Regions from separate parts of the Mus musculus genome. Here regions 1 and 3 are each reported to be linked to region 2. Evidence: microRNA targets listed by miRTarBase, many of them from high-throughput screens and not tested one by one. Region 2 holds a microRNA gene; each other region holds the end of a gene's coding sequence.

Evidence for each region. Region 2 holds the annotated microRNA mmu-miR-302d-3p (UAAGUGCUUCCAUGUUUGAGUGU, at 1,844-1,866, shown strand). A microRNA usually pairs through its seed, bases 2 to 8, with sites in the 3' UTR of a target mRNA and lowers its output. Matches are read on the target gene's strand: a 7mer-m8 pairs with bases 2 to 8, a 7mer-A1 pairs with bases 2 to 7 and ends in A, and an 8mer does both.
Region 1: miRTarBase lists Galnt4 as a target of mmu-miR-302d-3p. Seed matches in the 3' UTR shown: 7mer-m8 at 2,192-2,198 and 7mer-m8 at 3,429-3,435.
Region 3: miRTarBase lists Diaph2 as a target of mmu-miR-302d-3p. Seed matches in the 3' UTR shown: 7mer-A1 at 990-996 and 7mer-m8 at 3,342-3,348.

Annotation. Positions count from the first base shown.
Region 1 is chr10:99,109,427-99,113,505 of GRCm38, forward strand. Galnt4 (polypeptide N-acetylgalactosaminyltransferase 4) reads left to right here. Exons shown (of 1, transcript NM_015737.4): 1 at 1-3,821. The coding sequence ends at 725. All of the region lies in intron 2 of Poc1b (POC1 centriolar protein B), which reads left to right. Among named protein-coding and RNA genes, the nearest start is that of Galnt4, 3.3 kb to the left of the region's middle.
Region 2 is chr3:127,543,822-127,547,821 of GRCm38, forward strand. It overlaps Mir302d (microRNA 302d), which reads left to right and starts at 1,803; the gene lies at 1,803-1,868. Larp7 (La ribonucleoprotein domain family, member 7) reads right to left here. Exons shown (of 13, transcript NM_138593.2): 2 at 3,541-3,725; 3 at 3,269-3,369; 4 at 3,100-3,183; 5 at 2,833-2,997; 6 at 2,655-2,748; 7 at 2,226-2,582; 8 at 2,005-2,149; 9 at 333-457. The coding sequence starts at 3,724. Gm51018 (predicted gene, 51018) reads left to right here and starts at 1,268. Exons shown (of 2, transcript NR_146435.1): 1 at 1,268-1,325; 2 at 2,813-3,082. Mir302b (microRNA 302b) reads left to right here and starts at 1,407; the gene lies at 1,407-1,480. It also overlaps Mir302c, Mir302a and Mir367.
Region 3 is chrX:130,460,574-130,464,652 of GRCm38, forward strand. It overlaps Diaph2 (diaphanous related formin 2), which reads left to right. Exons shown (of 27, transcript NM_172493.2): 27 at 298-4,079. The coding sequence ends at 362. Among named protein-coding and RNA genes, the nearest start is that of Gm25170, 450 kb to the right of the region's middle.

The DNA of each region.
Region 1 (4,079 bases), not on the chromosome of region 2:
ACCTTGAGTTGTCTTTCAGGGTTTGGCAGTGTGGCGGCAAGCTGGAGATCCACCCATGCTCGCACGTGGGCCACGTGTTTCCCAAGCGCGCGCCCTATGCTCGCCCCAACTTCCTACAGAATACCGCGCGGGCGGCCGAAGTGTGGATGGATGAATACAAAGAGCATTTCTATAACCGAAACCCCCCAGCTCGGAAAGAGGCCTATGGCGATCTTTCTGAAAGGAAGTTACTAAGGGAACGGCTGAAATGTAAGAGCTTCGACTGGTATCTGAAAAATGTGTTCTCTAACTTACACGTCCCCGAGGATAGACCTGGCTGGCACGGAGCCATCCGCAGCATGGGCATCTCTTCCGAGTGCTTAGATTATAACGCTCCCGACAACAACCCTACGGGGGCTAATCTTTCGTTGTTTGGATGCCACGGTCAAGGAGGCAATCAGTTCTTTGAATATACTTCAAACAAAGAAATCAGATTCAATTCCGTGACTGAATTATGTGCAGAGGTCCCCCAACAAAAGGATTATGTAGGGATGCAAAACTGCCCCAAAGACGGGCTCCCAGTTCCAGTGAACATCATTTGGCATTTTAAAGAAGACGGAACGATTTTTCACCCTCACACAAGACTGTGTCTTAGTGCTTACCGGACAGCCGAGGGCCGACCTAGTGTCCATATGAAAACGTGTGATGCCCTTGATAAAAACCAGCTCTGGAGGTTTGAGAAATAGGCTAGCAGCAGAGCGCCTTCTCTTCGGGAGCTGACAGTAGCCTCCGGAAAGTCACCGTGCCCCAAGATGACTGTATTTTACCAGAAGTCACCTGGCAGCTGTCTGTAAGAACACTGGAAAGCCGTGGTTCATCTGGGGATATCACTCTGAAGCTGGGTACACAGAGCACCGCTGCTCAATATCTCAAAGTGCCTTCTTTGCTCTCGGGTTGTTTTATTTAAAAGCTTTGTCAATATGGTCTCCTGCAACTCCTTAAAGAAAGCTGCTGTGAACTGAGATACACAAAACACTGAAGTATGGGTGTAGCTTAGCAGTAGAATGCTTAGCTAGCATGTGCAAGACCCTGAGTCTGACCCACAGCACCACAAACTACATGCAAGACTTAATATTTAGAACATAAAAGTCCAGACAAAATGGGGTATGATTCATTCTGATTTGTAAATTCATTGCATGTACTTTTCTTTCTTCTTTTCTTTTCTCTTCTTTTCTTTATCAAAACATGTGAATGTGTAATTAGAACTATTACTTTCTGATTACATTCTTTCAGCCAGCACATTACATTTTAGGTTTTTAAAAACCAACTTGTCTTTGGTAAAATAAAAGTTGAAGAAATTTGATCTTGAGGAAAAGGCCTGGGGTTGATATATGTTTCATTGGAAGAGGGTCCTGGTCTTGAATGCAAGTTTGGAGGTCTTATTTTATTTTATTTTATTTTGAGATAGATCTTAGGCATCCCAGGCTGACCTTGAACTCCTGAGTCTTGCTTCCACCTCTCAAGTACTGGGATTACAGGCGTGTGCCACCACAGGTGGTTTGGAGGTCTTTCTTGGCAGACAGGTATCTCAGAAAGATAGTGGGACATTCACCTTCAGTTCTCTGTAACCGGGAGCCGTTGGAGTGAACTGGCCCATATCTCAACACCTCACATCACCCCGCTCTGTAAGCTGCATTCTCTGTGAACTTGTTTGTGAGTAATGGGGCATTTTCTGATTGCACCTCCTTAGTTATGGATGTCCTAGAATGAAGCTCATTCAGAAGGCTGGGCCTCCCGTCCTTAATGTCTAATGGTTTGAAGTCAACACAAGTGAGACTTCCCCAAAGCCAACCCCAAATGCCTTTACCGAAATGTGTGAAACTGAAGTGGGCCAGCCCAGTTCTGCAGAGAGTGTTCAACTCCCCTCAGAGTGGGCGCTGACCTGGAAATGGAGAGGCTTCCTCTTTATTGCAGTGGGGGAAAGGCTGTCTTGGTCATTGTTGATTGGTGCCTTGGAGCTCCTGGAAAGCACAAGGCAGCCGGGCACCTGGGCAGCTCTTACCTTGTGTGAGCAGATGTCTCAGCGGAAGGGGTTGTTTCTCTTGTTTGGGCCTCAGTTTCCTCTTCTGTCTCGCTGAGTTGGTCGGTGAGGATCCCTAAAGGTCGATTGCACCTCCCTCTGGGGCCCTCACCTCTATGCAACTTGGAGAGAAGCACTTCTGTGTCTTTCCTTTTAACGTGGGTGGTGCTGAGTAGCTGGTCAGTTTCAGTTTGGAAGATGGAAAGGCAATTTTTATATTTACATGAGCTGAGCTCCCCTGAAGTGGTGAGTTTCTCCCAGGATATCATGAGAGCTAGTTTTCTACTCATTTTATTTTGACAACGGTTAGACTGATTGTGCTTTTTTAAAAAAAAGTTTTCAACTTTCAAAGCAATTCTTTTGACTAAGAGTATAAATATTTCCCAAACTAAATTATTTCAGAAGTACACGTTTTGCCATATTTTGACTAGTTCCCTACTAACGTTTTATCCAGACAGCACAGCCCAAATTTTGGGAGTGAGTCTCAGGTTTTTGACTTTGATTTGAAAATGCATGTTCCATAGAGAACCAGCCCACAGGACTTCATAGGAAAGTTGTTTTCAGGGTTCACTTGTCAGGATGGAGAGGGGGAAGACTCTGAGTTTCAGTAGCTTGTTTAGGGTGACCATTGAAAACATGAAGGTTTGTGTGTACTTGTGGCTGTTTTGTTTCTCACTGATTCTTAGAATGAAAATCTCTTACTACTTTTTTGTAAGTTACCTAGCATCCTTACAGTTTATGGACCACCCACCTGGCTAGAGATTCCATGAGCAATGGTTGGCCCTGGGTTTTATTTAAGGGAAATATACATAAATGCTCATTCAGGAGGAAATTCTCCAACATGCATTCTCACCTCGCCCCATCCTTTTGCTGTTCTGGCTAAGCCCCGTGTCTGTCGCATGAGAGAATTAAATGGATGCAATTGAGAAGGGACCATTGAAAATACTTTTACTTAGTATCTCTGTGCCCCTAGCCAAAGAGAGACGAGGCTTTTAAGACTAGAGTATTCCCTCCTGTGTTACCTGTCTCTCTATAGGTGCTTATGGCCCCTCGGTCCTTTTTAGGCTGGTAGATTATTTCTGTCTGTAATTCAGAAGAATATAACTCAGAATACTATACATAATGAAGTAAACTGGAGTTGTGTTTTTATATGCAGACATGGTCCAATTTCATTCCAAAAGCACACCATAGTGAAACATGCAAGAGACGCTTTCACTTATTTCCAGTTTTTGGCCAACCACCCAAGTTCTCCATTTTGCTGTAGAATTTACATGTTTAAATGTTAGGAAAATATTTGATGAGCAAGGAGTTTCCCATTCTATTGTTTACTTAATCAGTCCTGTGAATAGATTGGCTCTATGAGCATCTTAGCACTTGTTTTATTTTTAAAATGGTAACAGAGTCATCAGAAGGGTCTCTCTAACCGTAAACACCTTGTTTGTAAGGGAAAGTGTGTTTATTCAGCCAGTAAATAGTAGGCTCTTGCATGTGCATTGATGTTAGCAGATTGAAATATTCCAGGCAAAGGATTTGTTTTTAAGTTGTATACTCTCAGTTATTTTATTGTCTCAGTTTTAATGAATAAAATTTAGATTTGACTTGTCTTTTGGAATTGCTGTTTTAACAAGATTTCTGAATGGGCACAAAGCTGAGGTCTAGATTTCTGTCTTTTGAGCGGTGACTGTTTCTTTTTGTTAATGGTGTCTGTAATATTGGCGAAGACATGCAATAAAATGTATGCCTAATTATTTTTGCAAACCAATTCTGATGATTTTAGTCTATGGCATTAATGTTTCTATGTACACATTAATGGGTGTGTGCGTGCGTGTGTGTGTGTGTGTGTGTGTGTGTGTGTGTGTGTGTGTGCGTGTGTGTGTGTGTGTGATAGTTCTATAACTGTGATAGTTTTGCTTACCTGAAAGTTCAGGCAGGATATAAGTCGGGCTTCCTGCCTGACCATCAGCCCAGAAGGAAGTGGTGTTAGTGCTATTATGAATTACGAACAAACTGGAAATGATAA
Region 2 (4,000 bases):
TATTACAATGAACGAGAGTAGTGCTCTAATATGCTCCTGCTTGCTGAACATCATCCACTAAGCCTGCAGTCTTTATTTCTCTCTCCAGGCACTCACAAGTGAGCTCGCAGGTAAGTAGAGAAGAATAAACAGACTATTAAAACCTAGTGTGTAATACAAAACTTCACATTTTTACTTTTCTTAAAACATTTTGTTTTTGGAAATGGTTCAGCTTAAAACTGAGGAAGCCACTCTATCACTGCAATAAAACTGCCCCTGAAACCATTCATAGACTAAAGCCCACTCTTCCATTACATGAGCGTCACCCTCTCCGTTCCCCACTGCACACTTACTAGGCGCTTTACAGTCTGTTTCCATTTCTGATTCCAATTTGATTTGAGATATTGTTTTTTTTAGAGAAGCCATGCTAGCTTTTTGCAGTGCCAAATACTCTTTCTTCAAATCCATCCATTCAGTCCTGAAAAACAAAAATTGAGCCATTACAGTGATAAGACGACCCAACTAGAAATCTGAAGTTGATCTAAACACAATGTTCATAGGAACTGCAAGTCTTTCTGACTTTTCTTTCTTTTAAGGCATATGTTTACATTATTTGTTAAGCCATTTGTTAAAGCTACCTAGCAAACACACAAAGGAAGTTTCTTTGTCTTAACAGGCAAGGAAAATGCTTGAGTTTCCTGGTTGCTTCTAATATTTAATTGTAAAATCACTTTTGAGTCACTTCTATTAAGTAAAATCACTAAATCAGGCAACCTGGAGAAAAAGTAAGAGACTAAAACTTAAAGATTTCTCAAATTGCTTCCAATTTGAGAGCTAACATTCCTTAGGATTTACTTGAATCAAAAGGAATTTCTAAGAAGAAAAAAACACCCCATGGAAGCAATTTATTTATTTACATACATTTAACATGTAGATGTATCTTCAAACAGCTAGGGCTCCTCCAGAGAAGCACAATGCATCTCCTGGCTCTGTGGGAGCGCTCATTGTTACCCTAATCTGTGCCATCAAACGGGCAGATAGGAGATTTTTTTTAAAGAGGAGGATATCTTGTGGTAATGGTTTTAGCAGTTAACATTGACATCTGTTTACTTCAAAAAAGGAAAAAAAAAAAAAAAATCCAGACCTACCCAGGTCCCCAGGACCTACTTTCCCCAGAGCTGATACATTAAAATAACAAAGGGTCTTGTAATGATTCTCAGAGATAGAAAGCCAAAAGGAACTCAGGAGTTAGGAGTAGTATAAATACAAGTGGTCTAAAGTCGGCGTCTTTCACCCTCCGAGGACAGAACAGGACTCTTTGGGAGGCGGTCACGAAGGTAAAGGAGGTAAAGCTTATGTCTGTAACCGGGTCACTTTACTTTCCTGTGGGTTTGCTCTTCTGTTTTAACTAGTTGCCTTGTGGGTGGGTTCCCTTCAACTTTAACATGGGAATGCTTTCTGTCTCATCGAAGAGTAAGTGCTTCCATGTTTTAGTAGAAGTGAATTCAAGAAACTCTGGAATAAGAAAGCTAGCCTTTTAATTCAGAGTCTGATGGGAGTCCCCTCTGCTTTAACATGGGGTTACCTGCTGTGTTAAACAAAAGCAAGTGCTTCCATGTTTCAGTGGGGGTGTCTTAAACTGTTCAACATTTTCTCTAAGATGCTGTAGGTTAAGGGAGTTATTGACTGGGCTTCCCACCACTTAAACGTGGTTGTACTTGCTTTAGACCTAAGAAAGTAAGTGCTTCCATGTTTTGGTGATGGTATGTTTTCCTTTATATTCATGCCTTTGTAAAGACCACTCAAGTCTGCTTAAGGGGCCTCCTTTACTTTAACATGGAGGCACTTGCTGTGCATTTAAAAATAAGTGCTTCCATGTTTGAGTGTGGTGGCTCCTACTTAATCTTCATTGTGCTGCATATAGATAGACCAAGGCCGTCACTGTTGCTAACATGCAACTCTGTTGAATAGAAATTGGAATTGCACTTTAGCAATGGTGATGGACCTGTGTCAGTGGCCACTTACTTGGACAGCACTCTCAATGGTATAACCTCCTCGCCCATCTTATGTCTCTCCTTGTGTTTCTTCTTATGCTTCCTCTTCACCTTTGAGAGTGAGTCACCTTTTCTGTCTGTCTCCTTCTCCTCCTCAGTAGAGCAGAATTCTAAGTCTAGAAAAAAGATTTCCGTAAGTCCGTTGTTGTGGTTAAACTGGTTAAAACATTTGTAACCCTACTGCCACGGTACCTCTGCTCTCCTTGGAGACCTCGGAAGCTGCTTGGCCGACGCCATCCTTCTGAGCCCTTTTCTTAGCTTTTGGCCTTGGGGGGAGGCAGTCTTCGTCCTCGGCGCTGCACCTCTCCCTCTTCCCTGCCCTGGCTTCAGGTAAGCTGGATGCTTCCACCTTGTCCCGCTTCTTCTTTTTCTTTGCAGGTTGCTTTGGAGCTTCCGGGGTTTCTGCTTCGGAGCCCTCAGAGGCCGTCCTTGGTCTCTTCGTGGCTTTACACACGCCCGAGCTGCTGCTGTCCACGGCCGACTCTTTGGCCTGCACACTCTCTTCCTTCTTTATTCTGCCTTTTTTCTTTTTCTTCTTTTTCTTCTCTTCTGTAACAAGATTTTATTATTTACAGTCATAATAGTTTATTGTTTACTTGGCCACTCTAAGTAAGCACTCACCTGCTACTCGTAAGGAAGGGATGGGCTTGTTTTTCACTGTCTTGGGAAATATACCAGGCTTTCTAGGTGCTTCTTCTGGTGGGTTGTTCAGAAACTGAAAAGATTGATTGCAGAATTTGTTACTCTTGTTAACCCTGTGCTTTTTCTTTACTTTTCAGGGTCCCACAGAAGTACGTACCTCAATGGCTTTTGCTGCTTGCTCTTTTGTTTCAAATTCCACAAAGGCAAATCCCTTAGGATCCCCAGTAGACTTGTAATGTGGAATACTTATGTAAACCACATTGCCACATTTCCCAAATACTCTCTCAATCCAGCTATGAGTAACATTTTTGGGGAGCAACTCCTGTAATAAATCATGGTATGAACATTTTAAAGTTCCTACATTTTTACCAATAAATGAATTATAAATAAATGAACTAGAATTAAAATTTGTGTCATTTCTTACCACATATACCGTGCGTTCCTCCTCGTCCTTTGGTCTCTCACCTAGGGGTTTTTTCCTCCTGATTCTGGTCCCTTCTAAGTCCAACTTTATGAGGGGGGAAAAAAAAAGGAAAGCTAAATAAAGTCAGTAGTTAATTGGATGTGGGTGACTTGAAATGTAAGTTTTTTACCTCTACAACAGATGAGCTTTTCAATGCTCTGGCTATTAGCTTCCCATCAGTTGTCAGCTTCTTCATTTTGTTAAAAGACACCAGGAGAGAAATGTCCACATCTAGTAAATAGGATAGTGGGATGTTAAACACTGGAATATATACATGTGTGCAAACAAGCACGAGTTCAACATGCAGTTGTGTGTCATGAACATATACAGTACTGAGCTCTCAGGAGGCTCTGGCCCCATATAAATGTGAGTTGGAAATTCCAACAAAGACAAAAAACTTACATCCATCTCTAGACTTTTCAATTTGCTCTCGCAGAAACTTGTCCTTGTGAAGGTTTGCATCTCCAAACCAGAAGTCCACCTGCTTAGCAATATCTGCAAGCACCTGTTTAACCCGGGAGCGCTTCTTTTTTTCTTCTTTTCTCTTAGTGCTTTCTTCCATAGTTTTTTGGTTTTCAGTTTCCATTCTGAGAGGGGAAAAAACAAAAATGCCAAACTGTAAAGTGCCTAAATGCCCCTGTCACCTGAACCTTCCTGCTGCAGGAATTCCTGCTGCAGGACGCCATCTCACTGACATCAGTAAGGATGTTTTTAAAGCTGGTCTGTCAGGCAAGTGCAAATTCTGTAGTAAATTCAAGTAGTAAAACCTCTACCTCAAAAGATGGCCTAGTCAGCCACCACTGGAAAGAGAGGCCCTTTGGACTTGTAAACTTTATATGCCCCAGTACAGGGGAACGCCAAG
Region 3 (4,079 bases), not on the chromosome of region 2:
TTGTCACCTGCTTATCTCCAAGGAGTCTATGCTTGAGAGAATTCTTCCCTTTCTTTTGTCACTCTGCCTCTGCTTACCAAGAAAAGTCATTTATTGCTGATTGCAGAACTCTTGAACCCAGCCTGGCAGCTGCTGTGTAAACGCCTCAGATCCGGGCTCTTTGCAGCTTATTTCCATATTCATTTGAAGTGATTTTTCAAGACTGTTTGGAAACCTCTCTCAACCTGACACTGTGAAATAGTCAGGATCTAAAGCTCACCTTTTTTTTTTTTCTGTCTTCTTCTCTTTGTCTTACAGATAACAGACGGCCCCCTCTGGAAAGATCTCGCTCTCGCCACAATGGAGCCATGTCATCCAAGTGATTCCCGAGGCCGGGGAGAATGGAGACATTTAAGAAAACAAAACCATCCATTTTGAAAGGAACAAATATACACTTAAGAGTTGGAGTGGAAAGAAATGCATTTCCACAAAGGTCAAGCTGATCTGGGGGAAGGGAAGTGTATTGGTAGTTACTGCAAGTACACTAATCTGAACTCAGATGTCATGATTAGGAAACATTTGTTCCTCTCTAAAGATGCACATAACTTGTCATTGTGTGTAAGGACCTGATTGTGAAGATCAAAGTAAAAAAAAAAAACAAAAACCATGGAAGAATCCTAAGGCTTCTACCAACATTCCAGTCTGTCAAATAATTTAAAACTGAAATTCTAGGTCAGACCTACCCACCCCATACCCCACAAAGAGACAAAGGGCAGGGGAGAGATAGACAGGAAGAATTTCTATTGTCTAGTTTCAGCTCATCTTATGTATATAGTGTAAAGTCTAGGAGAATAGGCGCATTAATGATTGTAAAGGAGCAAATATCACACTCAGAAAGAGAAGCCCAACTCAAGGTATTTAGAACCCATCTCAAGTGAAAGCTAATGGATTCTTCCATGTGGCAGAAATTAACCTTACCATTACTCTAATGTTGCAGTACAGGGTCACGGGCACTTAGCATTGCTAAAATAAACCAAAGTTTAACAGAATCCACTAGATTTCACTCTTATTTAAAATGTATTTAAGAAGTCTCCACAGACTTATAGAAATTTTTTATATAACTATTTTTGAGAAAAGTGTAGACTTTTTCATGTATATGCTAGGGATGAGCCTGAAATTCTCTTGCCTTTATTTAGATTTTAGAGGAAAATATTGATTTCTACTTCTTCCATTACTTCATTCTCCCTTCACCCCCTTAGAGGTAGGGAACAGAACTGCAGAAGAGTGTAGAGGGGGAAAGTGACATTTTAATGCAGGAGGCAGTAGGAAACTTTTGAAAGTTCAATTGGTTGGTCTCTAGTTCTACCCCTTTTCCCACTCCACTCTGGTAGTGAAAAAGCAATTCTCTCTCCCTCCTGCCCTCCCTTTTACCCTCCCTCTCTTCCTTCCTCCCTCCTTCCCTACTTCACTCTCTTCCTCTCCCTCCCTCCATTCCTTCCTTTCCCTCCCTCCCCTGTCCCTCCTTCCCTCCCTACCTTTCCCTATGTCCCTCCCCAGCATGTGTATATGTATGTGTGTGTGTGTGTGTGTGTGTGTGTGTGTGTGTGTGTGTGTGTTTGTGTGTGTGTGTGTGTATCTCTTACTGAAATAACCCATACCCAACTCTCTGTCATCATCATACTTACTTACCTTATATTATTAACGCATTTCAGTGATACTGCCAAAACAACGCTAACAGGTAAAGAAGCTCGGCATTGTTTTAAATATGTGAGAGAGCAGAAGTTATACTTAACTTGTCTATTCTCCTACAATGTGCATTTGTAATAATTGGTGTGACTTCTCTGGAGTGTAATTTCAAGACTAATTCATGCAGATGATTGTGATTGCTGTAAAAGATTGCTTGTATGTATATTTCTTATGTAGATAATTCTATTTCTATTCTGCCAAAGCACATTATAGACATTTAGAGAAAAGAACAAATAACTGGCTTGACAAGCCACCTTCTGAGACAAAGTAAACAAGTGTCCAGTAGCTCATCGACTCTTTCTACAGATATAAAGTAATTTACATGGTTGCCTTTCACTCGTTCTTACTTAGGTATGATACTTCAAAATACTCTGAAGCTACTATAAGTAGAAAAATCAGAACGTAACAATGTCTGAGTTTTTTCCTTTTTTTCTTATGTGAACACACACACACTTTAGAACATACCACTTTCACACACTTTTAAAACAATAACCATGAAGTTTAGGTTCTACTAATTAATGTAAATAACTACTGTATGCATTTTCAATTTTACAAAGTATTTTCTGAAATATTGTGGTATGGCTTATTTGAGGTTTTTTGTTTTTGTTTTTATAGCTTTTCGGGCTGTAAAAAAAAATTAATCTTGAAATGTAAACGTTGACTGAAATTTAGGGCATTTGCCCTGCCATATTTTCTAACTGGTCAAGGTTGAAATACTGAGGTATGTCACCTTTTCCAGATGTGAACTTGCCTTATTTTCTAGTTTGTAAACAAGAATGAATGAAGTACTATTATTGATAAATTATATATTTGTATTTAAATGCATTCCACATGCTTTTCACAAATATTAGAAAACCTTTCAGGGGACAGACACAGAATTAACTCATGTGACTTATAATGGTCCTGTTCTGGTCACTTGCATTTTTTGTTTTCGGTCGAAAGGTATCATCTGAAAACAAAAGTACATAGTGGCATTTTTTTAAAAGAAAACCAAATTAGGCTGAAGTATTTTATGTATTTTTGTTTATATCTGCCACACATGAAAAATGCCCTTTCTACAGCTTTTTCTTCAGCATATTACAAAACAAGTTAACTGTTTAGAATATTTTCCTTTGGCTACTGTAATGATTGACCATCAATCTTGTAGTTTAAGACCACAACAATTTATTGTCCCATGGTCCTGGAGGCCAGAAGTTTGACATCTGGACATCAGACCATTCATGCTACCTCCAGAGGCTACAACAGAGGCCCCTTCTGTGATTTGTCCATTTTTTGATGGCCAACGGTATTGTGTGGCTTATGGCCACATTTTTCTCTACTCCTTTTTATATCATCTTCTCTGTGCACCTGATCTCTCTCAGCCTGTCCTGTAAAGATGTTGATGGTGGCATTTAGAGACCGCCATCTGAAGACAGGATAATCCTCTCACCACACACGCTGAACTTTATGATATCTCTATGACCCTTCTTTCATGCAAGCTAACATCTAGGTTCTTTCCTAGATAGCTTAGCACTGTACTTGAGATAGTTGAATGAATCCAGAAATGTGTGCCTGATCTTTTCACCACTATTCAAAAGCTGGCAGGCCGCATCCTTTTGGTGCACGCCTTTAATCCCAGCACTTGGGAGGCTGAGGCAGGCGGATTTCTGAGTTCGAGGCCAGCCTGGTCTACAAAGAGAGTTCCAGGACAGCCAGGGCTACAGAGAAACCCTGTCTCAAAACAAAACAAAACAAAAACAAACAAACAAACAAACAAAACAACAACAAAATTTATCTTCACACAGAATTTCCTCATTTTATCATCTTTCACTATTAACAAAATTTACCAAATCAAGTGCTAATTCCTTCTTGATATAATGGTTCTTTCTTCACTTCCTCCTATCGGGCTCTTTTAAAAAACTTAGTACAAAAATAATGAGTTTCATTGTGGCATTTTTCATGCCTTGTTGTTGTCATTGATGATGATGATGATGGTGATGGTGATGGTGATGATGATGATGGTCCTTCTCCCCACCTTATGTGCCCTCGCCTCTACCACTACCCACTGCTATGGTCCCCCTAGTATATCCCATTTCACTGGCATGTCTCATATGTTCTAGTATCGTCTCTTCTCCTCCCCATTCTCCTAAGACTTCTTTTCCCCAGCAAAAATGAACGAGCTATACCTACAACAGGGCCTGCCAAGTTCCTCAACTTTGTCCCTTACAAGGTCAAGATTAGCTTTCCATAAAACTGTAGGAGACAATTCAGATAAGTTGTTTGGTTTGGTTTTGCTGCTATATAACAACAATCTTTCTTGCAGTTCCCACTACAGTATTCATTTCCTCTTGTGCCCTCACCAGAAATGCCTTTAA